Linked DNA regions of Lepisosteus oculatus. The protein of the gene in region 1 purifies or fractionates together with the protein of each later gene. This does not show direct contact. Links are inferred from orthologs where the notes say so. Each region holds a gene or a part of one and is shown in the gene's direction. Other genes may lie near its edges.

Region 1 (7,257 bases):
ATATTTTCAAAAAGGAACAGTATTATTTTGATATGTCTGTTGAGTTGCTTGCTCTGTTATTGAAATTTAGGTTTCACAGAGGCCAAACTTGAGCTCAAAACAAATGTTGTAGAAGTATACTTTATAAGTACTAACCCTTACAACAATGACATGTAAATGACCGAAAGGTTTCTATAGAAAGTTGTTCTCTGCAGAAATGTACTGCTACGTGTCTATAGAAAACTTTGGGTTATTTTTGTAAGGGAACGATGGGAGAGAATACGATTTTTAATATGAAATATGAAAAATGAACTGAAATTAGTTTTTATATCTTCTATAATAGATGTACACATTTAATTTTTTTCCCCAAAATGTAGTGTCAGCGTTCATTATATACTGCTTCTGCACGTTTTGATTTCTCAGATCATACATTCAGTTGTGCTGGAGAAGAGTTCACCCTGTCTATTTTTCTAAATTATAAATCAGGCTTTGGAGCTTCTGTCTAGTGCATGTTGTCCTTTTTGTATAAGCGACCGTCGAGTATAATCTCGGCAATAATCGGCAAGTTTGAAAAACCATTAACCTCCATTCTACTTTAAAAGTTGACTTGTTTTTCTGTCTGTGCTTTTACTTGTTCATGCTTTCACATTTATTATTATTATTTTTTAACCTGTTCAGACTTCACTGAGACTGAGTATAAGTAACATTCCTTCTAAGCTCTTTCTCTGAATCTCCTTGTCATTCCAAGAACAGGATTGTGGGAATCATTCTGTTTTCATGGAGGTTTGTGCTGAGCCAGACATCCTCTCCGTTACTGACAGGACACTTTCTCCATCTGCCCACCACCTGGCATGTGAATTACTGAATTGTCCGCAAAAAAATATCCTCTTGCACTTCTCGAGATATATACAGTGTATGTTTTTAGTTACCCATCCGCTGAAAAACAGGCATTATCAAATAAGCCAGTGACCAGGTTTGGGAGTTTCACATTTGGATGTAGGTCGCAGTGGAGGATGTAGGATCTAGGTTTGATTGTGTTTAGTTTGCTGCCATTTTTAACAAGCGTGTGTGGATTTGGAGTAGACTTCAGTACATCCTCCTGTGGCACTTACAAGTTCATAGGTTGTAATCTGATAGGATCTGAAGGTCCACTTCAAGGCTTTCTTCCTGGGTTTAGAACGTGGCGGATGATAGTACAATTTCCAGTTAGCTTTGCTGCCTCACACCTCCAGGGTCTTGGACTGATTCCTGGTTCGAAACAGTCCTCTGTTTTGGGGGTATTTCATTTTTGCCCCCCCCCCGTTCTTGTGGATTTTCGTGGGCTGCTGTGGTTTCCCCCCTCTTCCCAAAGACACGTAGGTTTAAGTTCTGAATTGCCCCCTTTTTGGGAGTTTGTTCCCAGTGCGGCCAGTGCTGATAATGTGATTGAAACAGAACAAAATCAGCTTGACGAGATTAATGGGATGGGGTTGCGTTTTCATTCTGGTGGTTCGGACCCTCAACTCGCAACGTTTTTCCAACTACGTCCGAGAATGAAGCTACTTCTCACCTCTGGTACCGGATCCTCTTTGATTAACAAACTGTGACGAGGGTCTTTCTGAGGAAGTATTTTCCCAGCTCAGTAAATTTGGAGGGCATCTGCTTGGCACTTTGGGCTAGAGGATTTTTTTCTTGTATATTATTCTCCCAAATGAAAACATTGACAATTTTTAACGTCATCAAATTCATTGACACTTTCACTTTTTAGTCCACATTCCTGTAGAGTAATCTCAGTTTTTGACATGATCTGGGGTATTCTGCAATTTGCTTGTTTCGCAAGACACTACAAGGACACGGTGAATCTTTTAACACTGGGGAAAAATAAGAAATTGTATTTGTGAATACAGTTCTATCCAAGTATACAGACATGCATTTGTATTCCTGAGCCATGTGAATCCATGGAGAATAGTGGAAGTTTACAGTGTTATATTTCACTTAAAGACAGTGGCTGTATTTCTCAGCTCCAGTAGCCATCTCCCATAGAGTTAAGATTGCTGCTGTTAATATGCTATGCAATATTCACTACACAGAGCAAAAGTAAAAAACAAGAAAAATTAAGGGTTATATGGTTCAGACTTTTGTCCCATTGTACTTGGCAGCAGAGTTTGAAGGCATAATAGCTTCATGGAAACATTAAATTTGACCATTTCATCCCCAAAATGCTTGGCTAGTGCTGATATTTCATCCGCCTTCAGTCTGAAACCATATACAGGCTGAGCTTCTTGGGACAGATACTACTTTTTTAAAAAAGGTTAATAAAGCAGTGTTGTGTAGTGTAAAATAAGAAGTGGTTAACTGTACAGTGTATAAAATGTAATAAAACAAAAGGATAATGTCTCCATGTAAAAGTGTATTGTATATTTTTACATAAACCATGAACTTGCTCTGTAGTATGTAGATTGCAATTAATAATGTATCTGGGAAGTGGTTTTATAGAAGGCATCCTTTTTATCTTTGTAACTGCTCTGGTTGTATCTATTCTGTATAGGAAATGTAGCTCTGAACTAGAGAAATGGCCCTGAGTAGTTACACTTGTATTTTACACATGTCCTGATGAATAAATGGTAAACATTTCCTAACAGTAAGGCTTCTTATTTATTTCCACTTGGTGTTGACCTTTTAAGAGTAGAGCAGTTTCATTAAAACACTTCATTTGGTTCATAAGAACGATATTTGCCACAGAAATTGGCTGTATTTCCAGATATTCTTTCGACACTTAAAGCAATTTTGAAATTATTAAACAAATTAAATGTGTGTTGTCTAAATACTAAATAAAGTAATAGGGTGCATTAACACGTTATGCCTGTTTCAAGGTACAATTGCAATTTAAAACACCTTGAAAACCTTGAATTTACAGAACGCTGTAAATGTTAAAAGACCAGTCCTTCAAATAACAACCGAAACGGTTACTATTACACTGACTTTCTAGGTCCTTTTAAAGCATTTAAGATCTCTAATAACATACAAAATTGTGAATTCTCACAATTAATGCATTGATCTGCGTTCCCGTTTTTGTGATTTTCTACAGCTCGCTCTGTATTTTATATTTCATAAAGACCTGCATGGTCTGTCTAGTTTTGCAGCAATCTGCAAACTAATATGCAGTATAGACCGTATACACAGCAAATTTGATTAGACAATAGCAGGTACAGTTCCACTGAAAATACGGTATTTCTATCACTGCTCAGTGACCCAGTTAATCGAACAAGGGCTTGCTATTTTCATCGAGGGCTCCAAAATAAACGCGACTGCGTAGGTAACGCTAAAAATAAGATTTACAGTACTAAGCCCAGGTGCGTTTTATGCAAGGACTCGGGGTGCTTGGTCGCATTATATGAAGCGCATGTAGCGAGCGGGACCTCGCAGGCGAAACAAAACTCCTGCGAGCCCGCGAACGACAGCAAAAAAACAAAACAAAACAAAACGGGAAAACAGGGTTTGCTTTTAACCGCCCTCGATGGGACTTTGCGGGTGTGTGTGTGTTTTTTAAAAAGTGCGTGACACGTGGGAACGAGGTGAACGGGGCTCCTCGCGCGCAGCAGGAGCTCGCGGGGCGCCGCCGCTTTTGTCCGCCCCGCGCGCGCAGCCCAAGTTGTGAATGAAACTGCCCGGGACGCACGTACACCGCCCGGGCTCGCGCCGGGGTGGGAGGAGCCCCCGCGTGAACAATGTCAACACTGCGGGGCGGCCGAGCGGCGCGAACCGGCACGGCAGCGCAGGGGCAGCATCGGGATCGCAGCCCCGCAGCTGAACCGCGCTGTAGGAGCTGCGCCCGACCCCGGGCGGCTGTCGTGCTACCGAAAACCCATTCGCGCCATTTCAGTGCCCCCAGCCTAACAATAGTTTTTTTGTTTCATTCCTTCAGTCCCCTGCGGCTTGTGGGAAGTGCAGTCTTTTTAGCCAGCCCGAGCCGTAGGAGTGGCTGGAGGGGGGCGTGTAAGCGAACTACATTTCCCAGGATGCAACATGCTTAAATGCCTGTCCGGGGCTCCTCCGATTGGTTACATTTGTGTTCAAACGAGTACGTTGGACTCCTTATATGGTGTTTCTGTGATGCTACGTTTGGGGCCAATGTTTTCATGCTAATGATATTCTAATATCCAGCTGTATGCAGGAGTAGCGTAGTAAGGCATGCGCAGTCGTCCCCCTCAGAAAACAGCGAGGTTTCAAAGTTTTTGTTGGTAAGTCCTGTTCTTTTTGCAATTTCGCGGGCGGTTTTGCTACAGATTTTAAGAAAACGCACACGAAGCATGGCGGCCGGGATTCCCGAGACTCGGAGGTGTCTGTCGGTGACGAAAAGCAGATAGATGCTTGTCTGCAAGGTGGTCATTAGCGCACAACAATGGGAGAACGTGGACGGGGAGCGTGGCGTGGTAGTATCAAAAACTAAAATCAAGGACATCAAACTGTTTCGCGCTTTCCTCCCCCCCCACCTCCTCTCTCTTTAAAATAAAAAGAGCAGACGCCGTGAAAGTTACACATTTGCGACCGCTGGCGTGCAGACGACGGGGGAGTGGAGGGGACTTGTTGTTGTGAAAATGAGGATTTGTCTTTTAAGTGTTGCACGGTTCAGTGCTGGTAACGTTCCTTTTAAAATAAAGCGCCTCCCCACTATCTGTGAGAGGGATCCAAGCTCGACTCTGCCGAGCTGGATGCCTGGCATCGCAGTGGAAATCGCAATATTGTTACGGGAAAGTACGCTGGCATTTCGGGGGACTTTCTTTTTTACCAAAGTGTTTTAAACAGACGAGGATCTTTGATTCTCGCGTGGTGACGTCAGGGCGAGAGGTTTGATGGATACAGTTACCCTGAACCGTCTCGGCTATCGATGGTAGCGTGCGCGGCACCTTTGAGGCTGAAACGTGTAGGTTTTGCCGTTTGTGCATTCATCCATTGAGCTCCGGGGAGATGAAAGAATATGCCAGCCGAACGCCGCGACGCATTGTCTTTGTTTTCTAAAGTAAGTTTCGGTTTCGACGCAATTTAAAAACGTGCCGTTTGGAAAGCACGATGCGACGAGAAGGAATTGGGGAGACAAAAAAAACAATTCCTCGCCTTCCCAGGTGAAGGGATTGTTGGATTTTTTTTAAAAAAAGTTTTGTTTTTGTTCCACGAATGTTGTTTTTGCACGCAGTATGATCGAATCGCGTTGCTTGCTTGCGAGAGAAAATGGGTTATGTTGTGTCTGGCGCTACAGCTCAGTAGTACCAACGTAGCACGGCATTTAGGTCAAATAAGTGGCTAGTTACGGTTAAATATGCACTCTTAAAAGACCGCGATGGTACATCGTGGTCTTTCAAAGTTTGTCTTCGCGTATTTTGCTGTCTACTCAGAATTTAACATTAAAAAGAAAACATTTCTTTGCCCGCAATGCACGTTGCGGTGTCCGCCCCCTTTATAGTAATAACCGCGGAAACAAACATGGAGCAGGGGCATGTCTGAGGCACTACCATATTCACGTGTGTTGTGTCGATCCGTTTTATTCTTCTGCTATCAAAAGGTCAAATTGATTTCGCTTGTGTTTGACACCCATGATTTCGCCTTCTCAGTGTTGCACGAACCTTTGGAGATGTTTGGTTTTCATAAATCGAAGATCTATCGCAGCCACGAAGGCTGTTGCATTTGTAAGACGAAGTCGTCCAGCTCTCGCTTCACAGACAGCGGTCGGTACGAAGAAAACTTCAGACTCTGCTTTGGGTAAGTTTTATTTGTATTCTGCGTTAAAATGCACTTGATCGCAGCTGCATGTTTCAGCCACAAAATAAGAGCTAGACACTCCTATGTCGTTTTCATTTATTGTTACCACTCGTTTATCTTTCAAACAAGAAGAGCGACTTAGTAGCTGTTCCGCTGACCTTACTGAGAAGTTCCCAGTCTCCAGCCGCTCTTTGGTTAGCTGGGGGAAGAGCTGGTAACCAGTTTTGGCGACATGTCCCCTCTGCGTGACACTACCGCACCACGAATCACATCTCTAATCAATCTGCCTCTCACGTCAGTGAGCACGATTTTAAACGTGTAGAAATACGGGACTCCGGGGGGGGATAAAACAATCTGGACCACAAAGGTGATTTATCACATCATTCAAGATCCCTAAACGTAGTTTTGCCGTTCATCAGCGGTCTCCGATTAAATAACCGGTACCAGTACCACTTGGTACTCTTTGCTTGGCAGCGCAGTTAAGAGTGCAGTGTGGTATTCAGCAAAGCAATTAGATTTGATAGAAGATTCATCAAATGTTTCGGAAGTCTTTCCAGATCTCCACCACTTTTCTAAACGTATCGCTAGCAAACGGGGCGGAAACATTTTTTGTTGTTCTAGGCTGATGGAAGATCGGACGGGAGATATATGTAATGCTTGCGTCCTGTTAGTGAAGCGCTGGAAGAAACTTCCCCTGGGCTCCAAAAAGAACTGGAATCACGTAAGTATCCACTGTGCAGAAAACACTTCTTTTTTTTTTTTTGCAAGGTCGTGGTGAAAAGTTTTGGGCTGATTTTTTTTTACTTATAAAGAAGTGAAGCTTCCTTGTATTTCTAGTACATGCCGGCAAAAAAAAATAAAAATAATCGGGGGTGGCTTTGAGTTTTCCTGTGCCTGTCTGGCACTGATTTGTGAAGCGTCTCTCCTCAGGTGGTCGATGCGAGAGCAGGGCCTGGCTTCAAGATGACCAAACCCAAGAAGATGAAAAGCGGCGACGGCAGCAAAAAGAAACTCAAGAAGCTTCACAAGTTCAAGAGGCAAAGTGAGTAGCAGGCTGGATGTTGGATCTGTTTGTGTCTGTGTTTGTAGTGGCCTGGATGGGCCGTGCGTGCCCTACAGGCTGCTGCTGCTGCGGCCCAGCTGCAGAAGATGACAAGGCAGGTGTGTTTGTAGTGTTAAATCGCCTTAAGTCCCAGCAGGTGAGGCTACGGTTTCAAGAAGGTGTCTCGCAAAGAGACCTGATCCGTGGAGTTCCAACTTCCCCCTGCATGCCTCACCTGCCTGGATCTCGGCATCGCCCTCCACCCGCGCGGGAGCCAGACTCCTGCCGCCGCTGGGAGTTCCCGGGAAGTTTTTCGACCAAGCCTTGTCCTTCCTTTCCAGATTCGGATGCTCACAGCACCACGTCCAGTGCCTCGCCCTCCCAGTCGCCCAGTTACAGCAACCAGTCCGACGAGGGCTCCGACATCGAGTCCAAACAGAGGCACTCCTCCCCATCCGTGTTCTCGTTCATCGACCTCTCTTACTGGAAAAGGTGCGATC
Region 2 (7,175 bases), on another chromosome or scaffold:
AATACCAACGCATAACTTCCCTAAAAAAATACAATAGATGATGAAGCCTTTTAATGACTGCAATCCAAAAGCATAGGAGGCAGATAAAACTGAACTAATGTTTCACATTTAGAAGCTTTTACTGTTACCACTTATCCGTTATCAAACCTGAACTCTCAGAGGGAGGCCTGCAGCAACTGCAAGTTTGATTTGTAGTCATAAAACTGAACAGCACGCAGTTAACGGTGTTAATGGTAGGTATTAACACTAAGCAATTAGTAGCGTTTTTTTAATAGCATGTGTATTTCATATTAAAAAAGCAGTTTTTTTTTTAACAGATTCATCCCTTTTCCAATGGCTTCATCTAATTCAGAGCCACTGGGGAGCCCGAGACTATCCCGTCAAGCAACAGGCGAAAGACGGGATACACCCTGGGTGGGACGTCAGTCCATTGCAGGGCAGACGCAGAAACACACATGCTCACCATGGGCAATTCTGCCAGAAGCCAATTAACCTGCAAGTTAAGTTAATCTGGACTTTTTGGACTGTGGGAGGTATCCAGAGGACCTACACGAACATAGGGAGAACATACAAACTCCACACAGACAGCACCACAGAATTGAACCCAGGGCCCCAGCACTGCAGGGCAACAATGCCAACCACTGCTCCACCGTGTTTAAATACGGTATCACTCTCCCCCAAATCAAAAGAATGTTAATTAAGACACCAAGAAGCCAGACAATGGCACAGACTCCTACCTGACCTTTTTAAACACCAATACTGTAGCCTTGCTTTCGAAACGCAAAAGAAATAAAATGTATGACAAACAGGAAGGCAAAGTCGAATCAGTGCAACAACAGACTCAGATCAGGAAATGAAAGGCAGCACTAGTCTTGTTACCTGTATCAGTGATAGCTGCTTCAGTTACTGCTGCCACTGTGCACAACAGCTTAGCTAACACATGCGGTGTTATTGTAGCACGCGAGGTCAGCACATGATTCGTGTCGCGGCTGCACAGAACAACAACGCACTTGTGCCCATTTTCTCTATTTCTGCCTCTCGGGGGGAATCGTGATCTGTAACATGACAGCTTAGATCAAACCATTCCACTTCCAGCACAGCGCGTCTGCTCGTTTCAAAACTGAGCGATCTGGCAGGGAAAAAAATATTTAAAAAAAACGCTCTTTGTTCAGCGATCACCTGTAACGAAGCTGCAACAAAACCCACTTCTGCAAATTAGCATTTCAAAAATGCCTGCGTGCACTCTGCACATCGGCAACCGTTTAATTAGCAGTTCTGCTGGAGCAGTTTCAGCTACAGAATCAAAGTCGCAAAATCGTCTAATTTCATTCAGAGTACGAACACTACTTTTGTAACATGAGAAAAACAAATATTGGGAGTTCAGTCTGTATGACCGCTCCCAGGTGCGCAAAAGACTGCATTATCCAGTATTCACACATTTAAAACCCTTTGTGAATCTCCTACAGCTCTAAGGAAATCAGGTGCCCTCACTCAGCATGCTGGTTTCTTTCACAAAGAGCATTCACTAGATGGATAACTCTGCAAAAGAAACGAACACTTGCATCACTTGGGAAAACGGTTTCTCTAGCCTGTATGACGTTTTCCCACCCCCGCCCGACTTTGAAACCCAAAAAGGGTCACTCGCAAAGACGCCGATTTATACGGGCAGCAGCAGCAGCCGGCACTGCGCCGACCACACGGAGCAAAGAGACTGCTCAAACTCAGACCCACGAAGCTCCACGGCCAGGAGCTCACCAGCGGAGTGCCAGCGCGAGGGAGCTCAACACGGTGGCGCGCCATTCTTCCACGGCAACCCCCCGAGAGCTGGATAGCACGGATGTAGGTCAGAGCGATGGTTCTAGAATTCTGCAGGTAACTGCAGAAAACAGTCAAGGGATGCAACACGAGACTGAGATGGAGGAGAGAAACAAGTTAATGAGACACACGAGTACCTGAATCTTTGCCCACCCCTACAGAAGTGGGAAAGGACATTTGAAGTCACATCCTTAAGTAAGTGACTCAGAGGCTCATTATACTTACACACGACCCAGCCCGCTGACCCAGTTTCCCCCCACACAGTTTCGTATAACTGGGAATTTTAACCAATTAGACCTTTTGCAATTTCTTTTTCAGGGTATTCAACATTCGAAGCCCCGCTGTGCCTTGCTTCCACAGTAAACGCAGTAGGGCAAAGATTTTTCAGAAACGTAAACAGCAAGTCTAACAACCGGATTCTCTGGCAAGTTTCCTTCTTCTACCAAATTTAAAGGTTCTAGAAGCTTGTATGTTATGTAATTACAAATCCTCCAAGCGCCTCAAACATGGTGGAACAAACTTTCCATTGATGTAGTATTTCATTACAGAATGAGGGACGAATTAAGTTAAGTAAAAGGTGTGCTAGGCGTTAAGATTTGCCCAGACTTACAAAGCATTTAGATAAGACAGGAAAACATTAAACACCGAATTGACAAAGCCGCAACCAGCTTGTCTACCCAACAGCACTTCGATGAAAAAAATTGTAATCCTATAATATTACCTGCATGTGCATCATTTACACAAAACATAAATACAGTTGTACACAGCAAAATGCAGAGACCAAAAATAGCCCAAGGCAGTGGTCCAGTCATGAGTGCCAGTGAGTCTGCAGGTTTTCATGCCACTTAGTTCTTATTGGCCTCTGTCAATTGCTGATGTCTTAAACTAGTCCAATTATCACCTCTCCCAGCTCCTCGACTATTACTTCTTTAGGAGAAAACCTACAGAGACACTGCAGGACCAGAGCAGAATACCGTTGGCCTACACATCTATCTGAAGTTCCAGTTAAAATGTTAATGTAACATTAAATAATTAAGGTTTGATGATCTCTTTTCAAGGCTGTGTAAGCCAGATTGGATACTGCTAAATTTATACCACAAGAGTTCTTTGGAAAAAATAGGAGTATGTAATATCAAAGGAGACAACTTACCTAAACCTTTTCAGTATTGGTTAAACTACTTTATACAGTATACTGTACGACACTGCTCAAACCAACGTAATGAAAGTCTTTTTTATTAAGCGCAGGTAATAAAAGTATGTTCCATGTTTTGCGTTTGCAGTTTTTCTAAAAGCAAGTACACAATACCTCACCCGGGAGATTAATACGGCTGTACACAACTCTAGAATGGGAAGAGTTTATACCCGCATTCCTCGTAAATCGCCTACTGTCATACACCAGAATTACTGTATCCGTCCGCTTAAAAAACCTGGTTATTAAAATAGCCAGACCCAGCTACAACTCAGCAGCATTTCTTGAAATACACAAGAGGGTGATCATTCAGTAACAGGATTTATCCTCACTAAAAAAGACCTACAGATCCTTCACAATTCCATTTTTAGATCTGGGGGGGAGACAGCTTCTAGGGAATTATTCCCCCTGTGCCATAAAAACGCGAAGAGACGTCAGCTTTACTTTTCGTGACTAACACACACGCAAGGTGTCATCATGTGACTCGCTTTGACAGATGACACGAGTGCAACTACATCAGTACTGCAGAGTAATTCCCTTACATCACTGCCTAGATGTAAGGAGAGAGGATTATCCTCTACAGAGCATGCATGCAACTGCTGTAAAAGTGAAAAACAGACCGTGCCTGAAAGGCTGGATTTATGTGCAATAACGTAGCCCCAGAGGCTTTATGATGAATCAAGTAGAAAAAAAAAGAGCACCTTAACGTTAGTTTTTTTTCCCCCAAGGCGCAGGCGGCCTCACCAACTCTCACAACAGGCAGTATTTTTTTTTTGCTGTTGATGTCAAGAGCACATCGACGAAGCTCCACCTACCTGGTTGGTCAGCAATTTGCAATCCGGGTCACTTTTTTTTTCCTCCCCCACGTCCGCTCGCAACCTTCCCTTTTATTAATTTATCACGGCATCCAAATATTTCTTACGCGTCGAAAACCCCACTTAAGAGGGGGAAGATCGTTGAGCCCCTCCTTTGTTACCGCACTTGACTTACAAAACGACCTAAAACACCTTACCCTGCCTCGTAATTTAAGAGCCAAGCCTACTCCTTGCTCATCCGCATTCACAGCAAGCTATATACGCCATCGCTTCTCCACCGAGCAAGCGCATAATGGCCGGGGAGGGGGGGGGGGGACGGATATTTTCTGCACGTTGCAAAGCTTTCTGGGAGTTGTTGTTCGGAGCGCCCGATGATCGTCATCTGAAACACTAGTGTTGTGTACTGCAGATTACTCTTTTGAGAACTACATATCCCAAGCGCTCCCAACTCTTTGTTACCATAGTACCGTTAGAAAATAACGTCATTTTCTTGGCAAGACCGACCAATGGTAGTCGGTAGGGGGCGGACACTAGCAGCAGATAGCCAATCATAAAGCTTGACAGTCATCGAGGGCGTTTCTTAGGGGAGTCCGTCAGTCTGTTTCAGAAGGAGAGGAGCACACAGAAAGAGTCCTACAGAAGGAGCGATTGTGTCGGATACGCATCCCGGGGCTGGTGGGGGGGAAGAAAAAAAAAAAGACTACAAAAATAACCGTCAAGTCCGTTTGCTCTTGCTTTTCGATGAGCTCATGGAGGATTAAATTACTGCACCAGCAAGAAGAGAGGATAAAAAAATCGAAAACTGGACTTCCTCGGTAAGGAATAAACAGATCGCGTGAAGTTTGTTTGCTGCCCATTCTTTTTTTTCCCCTAAAAAAAGATGCAGATCATTTGGGCACTTGCTGATTTTCTTTCCTAACGCCGGGGGGACAGACTAGGGAAATCTTAGACTAGGAAAACTGGAGGTGAGGTGGGGGGTGGAGTGGAAAAGACCAGCGTTGTCCGTAGTGAGCGCTGTCGACCCTGCTGCTTAGCCAGTCCAGAAACAAATCTATCAATTATTTGCATTCGCTCGTCTTATTCTTTCGCCTGTCAGCTTTAGCTGGCTTGAAGGTGTGTGAGTTACACTCGGCTATGGAGGAATGTATCTCCACCACCACCCCCCACCAAAAAAAAACCCCGATCATGCAGAAAGGAGTTTCTTGACGCGAGGCATCGGATCTGATTTTTTTTTGGTGGGGAAGAGGGGGAAAAAAAAGCCGTGTCTTACATAAGTGAGCTCCTCGGATTCTGCAGACAGCGATGAAATTGCCCCGAAACCGACTTCCTTTCCTCCAGAGACGACTTGCTGTCGCCCAGCGATCGAGTCTCCTCTGACTCTGGATGTCTCCATTAGTTGGCTTTTACGGTCGCGTAGGTCGCCTGCCTGTATTCCCGATCTTTTTTCTCTGTGGTTTTTTTTTCCTTGCTCCTGCTGCTGTTGTTGCTGTTGCTGCTGCTGCTCCAGTCTTCCACCCCATCGGTCACGTTTAATTAATATTTTTTTTCCCCTCCCTGCTCCCCTCTTTTATACTACAACCCGCAGCCGTGCTCGCCAGAACAGAAACAAAATCTTATTAAAGCCCGGACTGACGTGGGAGGGGGGGGGGAGGCGAAAGAGAGAAAAATAAACGACCAGGAGTAGAACATATTTTTAAATCGTTGCAATAAAGCAACTAGCGGAGCGGTTGGGAGGTTTGCGGAGGGGGGGTGAGAAATGAGACTAGGCTCAGCGTTGTTTTCGACAGCTGATTTTCAAGCACAGTCCAGCCGTGAGCACTCTCCCCCAGAAACACACACACACACTCTCTCGCCAGCAGTAACGACTGGATTACATTAAGCGGGGTGACATTGTAGTGCCTGGTTTGTCGGATTTAATGGTTGCTGCTCGTCCGCAGTCGGTCCCCGGCTGCTCCTCCGTCTCTCGAAGTCGGTGAAGACGACGGCGGCGGCGGCGGTGAGGGGAGGTCGGTTTAGGTTTTTGAGCCCGTGTCACTTTGTTTAGTTTAGCCTTGTTCATGGTGGGTTTTGTTGTTGTTGTTGTTGTTGTTTCTTTAAAAAACAAAATCCTCGTTTGCCGTTTCACGCCGTGGGAGAGGCGTCGGGGTTGTAGTTTGGGGAGTCAGCGAAAATGTGCAACCGAAACAGCCTCGGACAGAGGAGCCCTCTCTCTCTCCCTCCCTCGTCTGCGTTTGAACGCGGAAATCGCTCGATGGGTTTTTGTCCGCCGCTCTGTGTGTGTACTTCGGTGCGTTTTGGCAGCCTCTTGGGTTGGCAAATCAAAGTTAACGATTTCAGATTTCACGGAGACCCTACAAAAGAAACCAGCCCGTCTGTCCCCTCCCTCCCCCTCCTCCTCTTCCTCCTCCTCCTCCTCCTCCGGTCCCTTTCCTAACCTCACCAGCCCTCCGATCTGATGATGTGTATCACGCTGTGCTGCTCGGAGAGAGTGCCAACAGGGGATTCCTGAAAAAAAAAATCGACTTAAAAAATCCCCCCACACACACGCTTGCTGGCTTTTATCGAGCTGCTACAGCTGTAGTGTTATTTTTTTGTTGTTGTTGTTATTATTATCGTCACCATCATCATCCGCAGGTTGCGCGAGTGAGGTTGTTATTCCGTTGAGAAACTGTCAGTTGGTTGAGACAAAAAGACAGTACACCTCGACTGACGGGGGAGAAATAAGAGAAGGGCGATATGGATTAATTTTATTTCTCGCTGTCTTTCACTTGGCGTTGTTATGACGGATTTTTTTGTGTGTGCGTCTTTCTCTACCGTACTAGTGTCGTGTTGTTGGCGAAATGTGTTTCTGCTGTGATACAGAAATGGCGTCATCCACTTAGCTGCCTGCACTGATACACACACACACAGCAGACATTACTCCCCGTCCTCAACCCGTGTCAAAATAGTTCTTCTTTTTCATTTTATCCCTCCTTTTCTCTCTCTCCTTGCCCTCCTCGATCGCGTCTGTAACCGAGCCGTTTGGAAATGACGCCGAAAACCGAAAGTTAAAAAAAAAAAGCTGCCGTATTCTTTTTGTTTGTCTTGCTCATTCATTTTTATTTCAGGGACAGTGGGAGCCCCGTCTGGTTTCGAAATCGGTTTAAATTGTTTCGCGGACAGGAGTGAAAAATAAAAAAATAATGATCGCGTTGAAATTGAGCGTCAAACGTCACGACCTATTTTTCTGTACAAATGTCCCCCGTTCTCTGTACTTTTAGGAGATTTAATAGTGCTAGTTTAAATGAACATTTCTTATTTTGGCACACGTGAACTTCCGTTCTCGTACAGCTGCTGTGTTTGGTAGGATAGCGTCG

Evidence for each region.
Region 2: the proteins of sinhcafl (region 1) and arid4b purify together in Homo sapiens (affinity purification with mass spectrometry; 3 studies listed by BioGRID and IntAct, counting the BioPlex papers as one, with this or other methods). This does not show direct contact. The link is inferred for Lepisosteus oculatus from reciprocal best matches to the Homo sapiens genes SINHCAF and ARID4B.

What each region holds. Positions count from the first base shown.
Region 1 is NC_090716.1:9,697,488-9,704,744, forward strand, and holds the start of sinhcafl (SIN3-HDAC complex associated factor, like), read left to right. Parts: upstream 1-4,242; 5' UTR 4,243-4,977; coding exon 4,978-4,978; intron 4,979-5,567; coding exon 5,568-5,715; intron 5,716-6,336; coding exon 6,337-6,436; intron 6,437-6,645; coding exon 6,646-6,757; intron 6,758-7,098; coding exon 7,099-7,249; intron 7,250-7,257. UniProt on the Homo sapiens protein: Subunit of the Sin3 deacetylase complex (Sin3/HDAC), this subunit is important for the repression of genes encoding components of the TGF-beta signaling pathway.
Region 2 is NC_090712.1:6,399,463-6,406,637, forward strand, and holds the start of arid4b (AT-rich interactive domain-containing protein 4B), read left to right. Parts: upstream 1-4,168; 5' UTR 4,169-4,634; intron 4,635-5,089; exon of another isoform or gene 5,090-5,592; intron 5,593-5,750; exon of another isoform or gene 5,751-5,825; intron 5,826-7,175. UniProt on the Homo sapiens protein: Acts as a transcriptional repressor. May function in the assembly and/or enzymatic activity of the Sin3A corepressor complex or in mediating interactions between the complex and other regulatory complexes.